Drosophila melanogaster: one gene and its partner. The gene in region 1 interacts genetically with each later gene. Each region holds a gene or a part of one and is shown in the gene's direction. Other genes may lie near its edges.

Region 1 (4,916 bases):
CAGATGGATTGCAATTGTAAATCAATTGATTATTCATAGATCGGAGTGAATTGTTCTGACAGGTGACTGCTGATTATTATCTCGTCTATATTGAGTAATATAAATATTAGCTAATGACTCATGATTTGCATACTGCATTTCCTGTGACTTAATTTTTGTTGTATGTATGATGTTTGTTGTCATGTATATTCCACAAATGTAACTTTGAGTGCAATGAACTTTTTGTGGCTGGCAAATTGGGTTAGCACATGCAATGTATCCCTATTGCCTGGATTTATGTCAACCTCGAGCACAATTAAAATCAATAGAGAGCGCAGTGAAATCATTCAGGTGTCTGACAATTCCTGCAGGACATTCGTCAGTCACATTTATTGCTGGCTAGTGGAAAGTTCGACAATGGAGCTGCGTCGGAAAATCGCTCTGCATATTCTGCCCCTATTTTTAGCCATATTTCTATTCACCATGGGCGAGGCATATCTGAAGAGTGTCCGCGTGGATGAGATTCCCTTTGCCGGAAGAAAGGCCCTGGCCAATCGGCGGTCCAGCGGTATTCATCTCATCTCCAGTCTGGAGCATCAGCGCACTTTTCTTCATCTCTTCCATGTGCCCTGTAAGTTAAGCAATCTATTTCGCAATCGAAAGTGTTATATACAAGAATGGGCCATAGTTTTTCCACATTTAACTAGAATGTTCTAGATCAAGATCTCTGTATTTTGAACAAGGATTAGAACATAGGTTTCTGTGTGATATCTTCCCAATTTACAATAGTTCTTTTCAGTTTAAAAGACATCCACAACGCATTGAAATCATTTTAAGAGACGAATACGGCTAAGCCTAAAAGTATGCTATACTTTTTCACAATTTATCATATGTCGCAAGGAAACAATGAATAAACTTCTTTAGCAACTAAAATATTTAAATTTTTATCTCCTCAAGCATATGAATACTTTTATTAAGGCTAGCAGAATTACAAATCGCTTAAATTTTTACATTTCAGACATCATATGCTTTTATGCCGCGAAGGGCAAATGGCCATATGTGCCTGGATTCATGAAATACCGGGTTGACAATGCAGCTCGCAGTTTCTTCAATCAGAACGACAGTTTCATCAAACAGTTTTGCACCAAGTGGATTCAGGTGAAGGAGTGCTTTCGTCCCTTATTCGGTGGGTGGCAACTCTTTATGGAGTTCAGACATAGATTGACCTATTTAGGCACCTCTTTCCAGACAAATCAAATAACACAGATGTTGAAGTGGAAACGCTCGATGCAAAAATTCAGGGACAGCGTTGTAATTGTGACAAATTGTTGCTCTCAACGGAGCCACCTGTACCGGTCGTCTACTTCGACAAGAACTACATTGGAAACGTCAGTTCGGAAACGATTTTGAATACCATTGAGTTTCTTGAGAGTTTCCTGCCACCGCCCACTAAAAAACACAAGCGCAAGAATCGCGTTCGCGGGCGCGTAGATGATATGGATATTGAATAGAAATCGTTCTTTTTCATTCGCATATACCTTCGTAACGCACTTAGATTTTAATCATCACAATCATAACCAAAAAATCATCGCTTAAATTTGAATTCAAATTCGGTTGTCAACAGTTTTCTAGAGATAAGTGGTACACTATCTGTAATGCTCAGAATATTATGGCAAAATAAAAATTCTTTAATTAACAGAGCGCAACTTAGCTTGTTAATATAGATTCTTGTTCATGTTTTTGTATTAAATGTAAAAATATTTATTAAAAATTGCTTTAAATGTTTTTTATCGATAGGCATAGCTATACCGATATTAGTCGATAGATATGCAGCTGGTCTTAGTTTATCGATAGTACTATCGAAATTGTCATCGCCAATTGGATTCTGGTATATATTCGCGGTCGCCGGACGGTCACACTTATTGCACTTACTCCAGTTGGAAAGGCAACAGTGTTCGCGTCGCGGAAGAAACAAGAAAGAAAAACAGCGAGAAGCACTGCAAATGCATTGGCTGCATTTAAAGAACAACCGCGATTAGAGGAAGTGTCTCAGTACACAGTCGAATTAGCCATACAAATTGGCAAAAGTGTTATAAAAGAGAAGCGCGGTGGTGTGCCAACAGCCCAAGAGCAAATTCTTTTGCATTCGCTTTTGAACCGCTTTCATCGCGAGTTCCCGTTTCTCTGTGTGCGTGAGCAAAGAGCGTGTGCAAATAACTTTTTGCCGCGTTGTCCGCCTGCTGCGAATTTCCAACCGAAAGAGGACAGCGAGAGCGCGAGAAGAGAAGAGAGGATCGAGTGATCGGGTGAATGTCGCTGAAACACCAGAAGCAATCCTACCAACCGCTCCCAACGGCGGCCGCCATGGACAATCCGGCGATGATCCAGAGCAGCGGTAGCAGTGGGAGCAGCTCCTCTGAGGAGGGCGGGAGTCGTGAGGATGTGGCCAATCTATCGCCGCTCGGACTGCCTACGACCTACTCGTCACAGCAATTGATGCCCTCGGATACGGACAGCATGGAGGAGGAGCGGCACCGACTGCGTCCCCACCACCATCACCACCACCCACTGGGCGAGCACCACCACATCCCGGGCATACCACCATCCGCCGTCGTGCCATCGCGTCTCTCCAGCGTGGGCAGATCGCAGTGGTTCACCGTTACCGTGCTATGCTTCGTCAACCTCATCAACTACATGGATCGCTTTACGATCGCAGGTGAGTCCGGTGATACCTCTTTGGGTGTCCTATGGGATTCCATACGTTTTTTGGGGGGCTTGTTGCCGCAGTAGATAGGAAAATTTGTTGACACTATTGAAGAAGATTGCTATAGACCGCTGTAAAAATCACAACTTTTGTGTGACCAAAAGATTGGGCAGCCCAAAGCACTTATAGTATGTATTCATTTATATATCAGGCAAAAGAATAATAAAAACATTTAAATTGCACAAAATCTGCTGACAAAATCATAATGTTATTAATTAGCAGCCGCTAATCAACAATACTTGTGACCTAATCAGTTGAAATTTATACCTCATCGTCGACAATGCGAGTCGTCGCGTTCCCATTGTTTACAAAATGTACCATAAAGATTGCGAGCGAGAGAATTTGATTAGTGACTAATCTACTTACAAGTGAATCACGCGATCCAAAAATATTCATACAGAGCATTTTATCATTCGATTCGCTTTGCACCGAAACTCGGGACATTTCCACTGGGTGGGCAATCAATCAAGACCCATTTCGCCTAAACCTAAACATATGTATATTATTTCTAGCACTCAGGTGCGATAAAATGGAGTGAGTGAGCACGGCGGTGGCGGCACCTGACCTGCTTAGCACGGCGGGTAATGGTAGTTGCGATCGGCGATCAGAAAGTCCCCCGCCCGCGTGACAATTACAGGGTAATCTCATGTTTCAGTCGATAAATACAGACACACTGCCCACATAATTGTTGAGTTTATTATTATTAAGAACATTAGCGAAGGAAATTGATCTTAATTCATGCGGGCGGCATTTCATTGGACACTTGTTGAGTGCCGAAGTTCTTTTCACTGTTTACTTGTGTCTGGAAAATGAGACTACTACCGATTGCACTTGCACTTCGACTGGCGACATCTTAGTTACACAAAACGCGGTGCAAATCGATTGGAAACTTGTTTCAGGTTACATGGCGAAACAAGTTGTGACTGATTATTATACGTACAAGTCCGCCTCAGACGACCGTTTAATATGCATTTCTAAATATGTGTATATTATAGCTATAGTTTCGCATTTTCTTCGTGAACCTGAACAGCCAGTTCTTCCTGAGTCAGCAGAACTTTTCCACTCAAGGCCATGTGATAACGTCTTTTACTGTATGTGTAGTTGCAATTAATTTGCAATTATAAATCACTGGCTATTAGTTATCAGTTGATTGCCGCAGCGGCAATTGGAAATCGATCTTACAACCCTTTTTTTTCGGTTGCAAATCATAAGCTTTTGATTCGTGTAAAGCCACCGGATCGAGTGACTAAAAAAACATCATACGACTTTTTGCAACAGAACAGGAAGTGGAATTACTCACCGAAAAGGGGCGATAGCACTTACATACCGAGCCAAACAAAATCGCTGTTTACATATTATATTTAATATAAACACACATCGCTACTCGCCACTCGGAAATTTTCATTATTTCCATGGGCGCCTAATTGATTGTTTATTTTGAGAATTCTGCGAGCGCAAGGCGAAATAGAAAACTCATATAAACAATGGTCGGTCGCACAAGGTTTTTGTTTTGCCATTTCTGCCAGTGGCATTGTTATCATTATCAACCCCCCCCCCACTTTTTTGGGCCTTATCAAGAAGTGGCTGAAACCAGACGCGCTGCATAATCAATTGCATTGGATCACCAGCTGCAGTGCACGTGGTGTTTTGGGTCACTTTTTTGCAGTGATTAGATTACCAAGCGATTATTTGTTTAGCTTCTGCTAACTGACTGCTCTGATTGCTTGGCCCTTTTGTATTTAATGTGAATTTCGGCATTTGCAACGTTTCCGTGTGGTTGTATATAACAAGCAAAAATACATGCATACATATGCATATATTTATTTGGCGCACATAGACGTGTGTATCAGCTGATGTCTGCCCAACCTAATGGAATGCATTTAATTATAATTTTAAGTGCGTCTCGGCCTTTGGCTTCGACCTCCGACTTTGCTGAAATTCGCCTGGTTTTTTAAGCTAAAACCGACCGACTGACGGTAGTGGTGTGATGTTTTGTAACCACCTCGTTCGGTCAAAAAAAAAAAAAAAACACTGGGAAGCCCCCCTCTTCATTCATGATCGTGATCTGTGTGAGGGTGGATGGGAAGGGGGGGGCGGGGCTATTCTGTTGTTGACAGTAAATTCAATTTCTGCACCGACAGCGAACTTTGATCATCGCAAAAAGAACTGGCAT
Region 2 (4,652 bases), on another chromosome or scaffold:
AAATGATTTTTGGGGTTACACTTTTAAATTTTCCGGAAACGCCTCGAGCAGCATATGCGGTCCTCGGAAAATTCACTTAAAAATCCACTTAAAATTTTGCTGGGTATTGCACTTCACCTTTAAAGGAAGATTAAGCGGATGAAATAGGCTGATGTCACTTTACTCATAAGAGTTTGTATGTAAATAGAATGTTCGCGCCAACTTCACGAGTTTTTTTTTTTAGTGCGCTATCAATCTACCGAATATCATTTTACTGGTCTACCCCTTCTTGGCACCTGAGATATTGTTCCCGTTTTTGTCAGTTGTAGGGGGCCTCTATTTATAACTGAAACGGAAAAATCCATTAGAATATTGCCGCAGACAAAGGACTTTCCCCACAACCCTGCCCCACAAATCGCGGTGGGGGGTTTGTCGGGCGGGAAAGTGCGCAAAGTACCTGTCTGGGTGGGAAGATATAATACCTGGAGAAGTGCCAATCCCAAACGCTTTCCCACATAAACAAGCATTAGGGAACTCCGAGCTTAGCTTATGTGGCTGGCTGGCTAGCTGGAAAACTGAAGAGGACTGTGGGAGCGGGTGGATACGGGCAGTCACGCAAGGGGTCAGTGGGCGTGGCGGGGCCAACGCCCAAAGGTAAACTATTTTTGGGGAGCGAGGCAGTTGGTCATGGGGATAACTACTAACTAAATATTTAGCACGACACGCCTTTATTCTTTTGCACCCCTAATTGATTCAAAAACGAAATTTTATCCGCATTAAAATGGGGAGACACAGCGAATTGGTTTCGGGTACAGGGAAATTAGATCAGAAGGACGTGCGTGGCATTTAATGGCCTTACCAATCAATCAATCCCAATAAACTTACAGCATTCTCTGCCACAAATGAGTCAGCAAATAGCATCATTATCAACGCATGAAGTTCGCCATCGGGTGTTCGTTCAATCAATATGCAAATAAATTTGTTGTCATATCCGACAGCTATCTGTTGATGCTGACAATTATAACAACTGTAAGTACAAACACAAATATTAATAACCCCTAGCCAGAATCAATAAAGAATCTCACACTCATGCGAATATTGGGCGAGAGAGAAATTTGGAAATTAATGGCCAATGGCCTAAGAATACCAATTGTTAGCCGAGATGCGAAAGCACTCATATAATATTATTAACAATAATGAACTTAATTATGAGCACACATGAACATTAAGTAAGTGCTAATTAAGTATCAATTTAGATGCTAAGTTTATGAGATAAATCAGTTTAGTTCTATTAAACTGTTGCCATTAGTTTAGTAAGCGATCTAATATATACAATCTGAAGATAAGCACATCGTTGGCGACATACAAAAGATTTTGTATTAAATAAAAATAATAAAATGAAGTAGATTAATACAAATCGGTCTTGTTTATTTGCTTATCAGTACAGTTGAATTTGAAATGCCAAAGCTAGACCGCCGATCATAATTCAAAATGCAGCACTGGCGTTTGGTCTTAATGAGCACTGGCTGCGGTGGTGGAAAATGTGAACAGCTGATACCACTGGCAGCGCTACGCAACACTCGACAGAATAACGAAAAGAGAGTACAGACGAAAAGCTGGAGAAAATTTGGTTCATATTTTCATACGTGAAACAAGATGTAAAACGAGTGCATTTAGGGCCCAAAATAGTGAAAACTCACACGGGAAACACAATGCTAGCGACGGATAGCAAAAGTAAGTGACGGCTGCACGAAATAAGCCGGAAAAGTGCATGTGAAAATTTTCAAATTCGACCTATCTGCTGGTTTGTTCAAGGGTGGGTGGCGGGCAGAGAGGCCGAGTGAGAGTACGCGAGAGAGGAAGAAAAATCAATAAAATTGTCGTGAGGCGCGATTGACTGGAGCAAAACAAAGTGCGACACGAAAGAGAGCGCTAAGCGGACTACGAAAAAGCAACAACAGAGCGGCCGTTAGCTGAACCAAATGCGTTGGCAGAAAAGAGAGGTCAGATAGTCGGTAGTTTCAAAGGGAGTTGGAGTAAACAAACAAGTGCGCAATAAGTAAACCAAGAACAGCTGTCTCGCACAAAATGTAAATATTTCCCGAATATATGGAATAATAACCACTATCGGTTAATCGCTTGCTCGCTATGTAGGCGTACGAATCGAATCGAGTCGGCGACAGAGGCAACGTTCATTCACTCGCGAAAAGTTAATACTCGCACCGAATACAATGATCGCACTTTTCGTGTGATTCACCTCCAGCGGCCGCTAATTAAGGCGGCGGCAGCAGAAATAGAATAGCTGCGAAAACAAGCCATAACGCCAACTGCACTGTGCGCGGTTGTGATTTGGAAGCCACTCAATTGAAAGTGTCAGTGCTGTGCAAATAAATCGCCAAAATATCTCACCTCCAATGTTCAAAAGATACAATATCTACAATAAGCACAGGTTCTATGGAAACATATGTTTAAATGCGAAGCGACACGTTTTGAACTGAAACCTGCATGAAAGTGGGAAAGTTCATTAAACTACAGCAGTAAAAAGTTTCAAAATACTATGAAATATCTTTTTACACCTTTATCGAATAATATATAATCTTTTTAAACGGCATAACATTGTAAACAAGTGAATCACCATTATTAAAACACATGTAGAAAGTGCCACCCCCTTGCAAAAAAATCAATGACATTCCTCATAGTACAGCCATTAGATTAGTCTTATATTTTGTATTAAGTCAACTTAATTTTCTCTCTTTTAGATTAATCTTACCGCAAATCAACAAACACAAAGATGAATGTAATGCGTAAGCTGCGCGGAGCGGCCAGCGCAGGCAGCGTCAGCGGCAGCAGTAGCGGAACCTCGACGGCGAACAACAGTTCACCAGGGAGCAGCAGAACGGATGCTGGTGCACCGACCGCTGCAAATGGACGGAATGCGGAGGAGGCGCTGATGGACGCCCGCGTCCAAGTGAGCCTCACCACGCTAAAGAAGCTATTCAACGAATACACTCATCCGCGGGAGCCGCTGAGCGAACAGGAGCGCGATGACAAGCTCTACGAGATGCTGCCCCTCTTCTGCAAAGTGAGTGAATCAGTCGGTATGGAGGAATAGGCCACTAACTCCCCATTCTTACAGGTCTTCAGCAGCTGTCCGTCAAACGACATGAGCGAAAAGTTCTGGGACGTGGTCGCCTTCTGCCAGCAAGTGTCCCGTCTCATGGTCAGCGAAATCCGCAAGCGCGCCTCCAACCAGAGCACAGAGGCGGCATCCATTGCCATAGTCAAGTTTCTCGAGGTGGAAACCACCGAGGAAACCAGCAGCGGATGGATGCTTTTGGCTACCCTCAATTTGTTGGCCAATGGAGACGTATCTCTCATACAGGTATGTTTCATTTATAAACTGCTATAGTATCTTATGGTAAAAATACATCGACGTAATCAAAACAAAAAATTTCAATAGCTACAATTTTCGTTAGGGAAAGTCGTCATCAAATTCACGAAGTTTTCTCAGTTCCAGGCTTCAAAGAGAATTCGATGTGTGAGTTCGTAGCTTCTTCATTTGTAATATTTGGGTTGGCTGCATCTGGAACTTGTTGTTCCTTTTCTCCCGCATCGCTTGGCTTATGGACCAATTCAGCATTGCTTAAAGTTCTGAGCCGAGAATAGCTAGAGCCCTGTTCTACCAGCAAAATCTCCGATTTCTCCCTTTTCTCAGTGTCCGCCCACATGGAAGATCGCCGGGCTAGCTTCCGATCCATTTGAATGGGTTTCATTGTGGCCTCGCTGTTCTCACTTGACCGAGTTGAAACAAGGCTAACAGTGCTCCTGTCCTCGATTTTGGCCCACAAGCTCGAGGAATCGCTGGAGCCGCGCCAGGCTGAAGCAGACCTGCGCATCTTATTGGCCTGCTCTTCCATGTACACACTGTACTCCGTGTCCACCGGTGTGATATCCGATTCACTGGTGGTTATTGTTGGCGTTGATAGAAAACTCTCGTCACTCTCGATCTGATGCAGCGAAAAGAACTTTTTACGCGCATCCCCAATGAACTGCCACATGCGGACTATAAAGTGCGGCTGCTCCACCTCCGCGTTCGGCCGGAAGTACAGGATCTGAGAATTGGCCAACTTATAGTAGCACCTGCAGCATTTGCATAGAAAGTCGTCCACTGGCTTGGAAAGCACAAATAGCCCGGTTGAACCAGACTCTGTTCCCTCAAAGTACTTACGGCCAGTCGCCTGACGTTTCCAGTCGCCGGGTTCCATGCGCATCAGCAGGTCGAACACGTGGAACATGTGCATCAGGTACATGGTGCCAGTAACCAGCGCAGCGATGCTCTGCTGCTTGCAGTGCGCAAAGTGCGGATGTTCCAGATACTCGATGGTAGAATTGATGAAGGCCAGGTGAGGGTCCAGCATGGCGGTGCGCATTATCAGCACGCCGCAGAAATAGTGCGACAGCACGGCACTCAGTGTGAGCAGGAGCTGGGAGGAGAGCACCGTACTCCTAGCCAATAGCAGTCGGAACGCGCCTAGAGCGGCGAGCGCCGTAAAGGACGAAAATGTGGCACAATATAGGATCACATGAGGAGTACGCTCTGGCCAGTAGGATGAGCCGCGTATGTGGAAAAACATACAAACACTGCCCAGCAACACCTCGATGAGTTTAAAAAA

Evidence for each region. Genes that interact genetically often act in the same process or in processes that back each other up.
Region 2: of spin (region 1) and bchs, changing one enhances a phenotype caused by changing the other (phenotypic enhancement), as found in Drosophila melanogaster (one study listed by BioGRID).

What each region holds. Positions count from the first base shown.
Region 1 is NT_033778.4:16,123,088-16,128,003, forward strand, and holds the start of spin (spinster), read left to right. Parts: upstream 1-1,893; 5' UTR 1,894-2,289; coding exon 2,290-2,695; intron 2,696-4,916. Other genes in the region: CG30095 (uncharacterized protein), read left to right, coding at 397-610, 998-1,165, 1,228-1,490. UniProt on the Drosophila melanogaster protein: Probable sphingolipid transporter that plays a central role in endosomes and/or lysosomes storage. Involved in TGF-beta-mediated synaptic growth regulation both pre- and postsynaptically via its function in endosomal storage regulation.
Region 2 is NT_033779.5:5,905,575-5,910,226, forward strand, and holds the start of bchs (blue cheese), read left to right. Parts: upstream 1-1,594; 5' UTR 1,595-1,713; intron 1,714-2,738; 5' UTR 2,739-2,770; coding exon 2,771-3,061; intron 3,062-3,115; coding exon 3,116-3,361; exon of another isoform or gene 3,362-3,473; coding exon of another isoform or gene 3,474-4,652. Other genes in the region: CG14000 (uncharacterized protein), read right to left, coding at 3,474-4,652.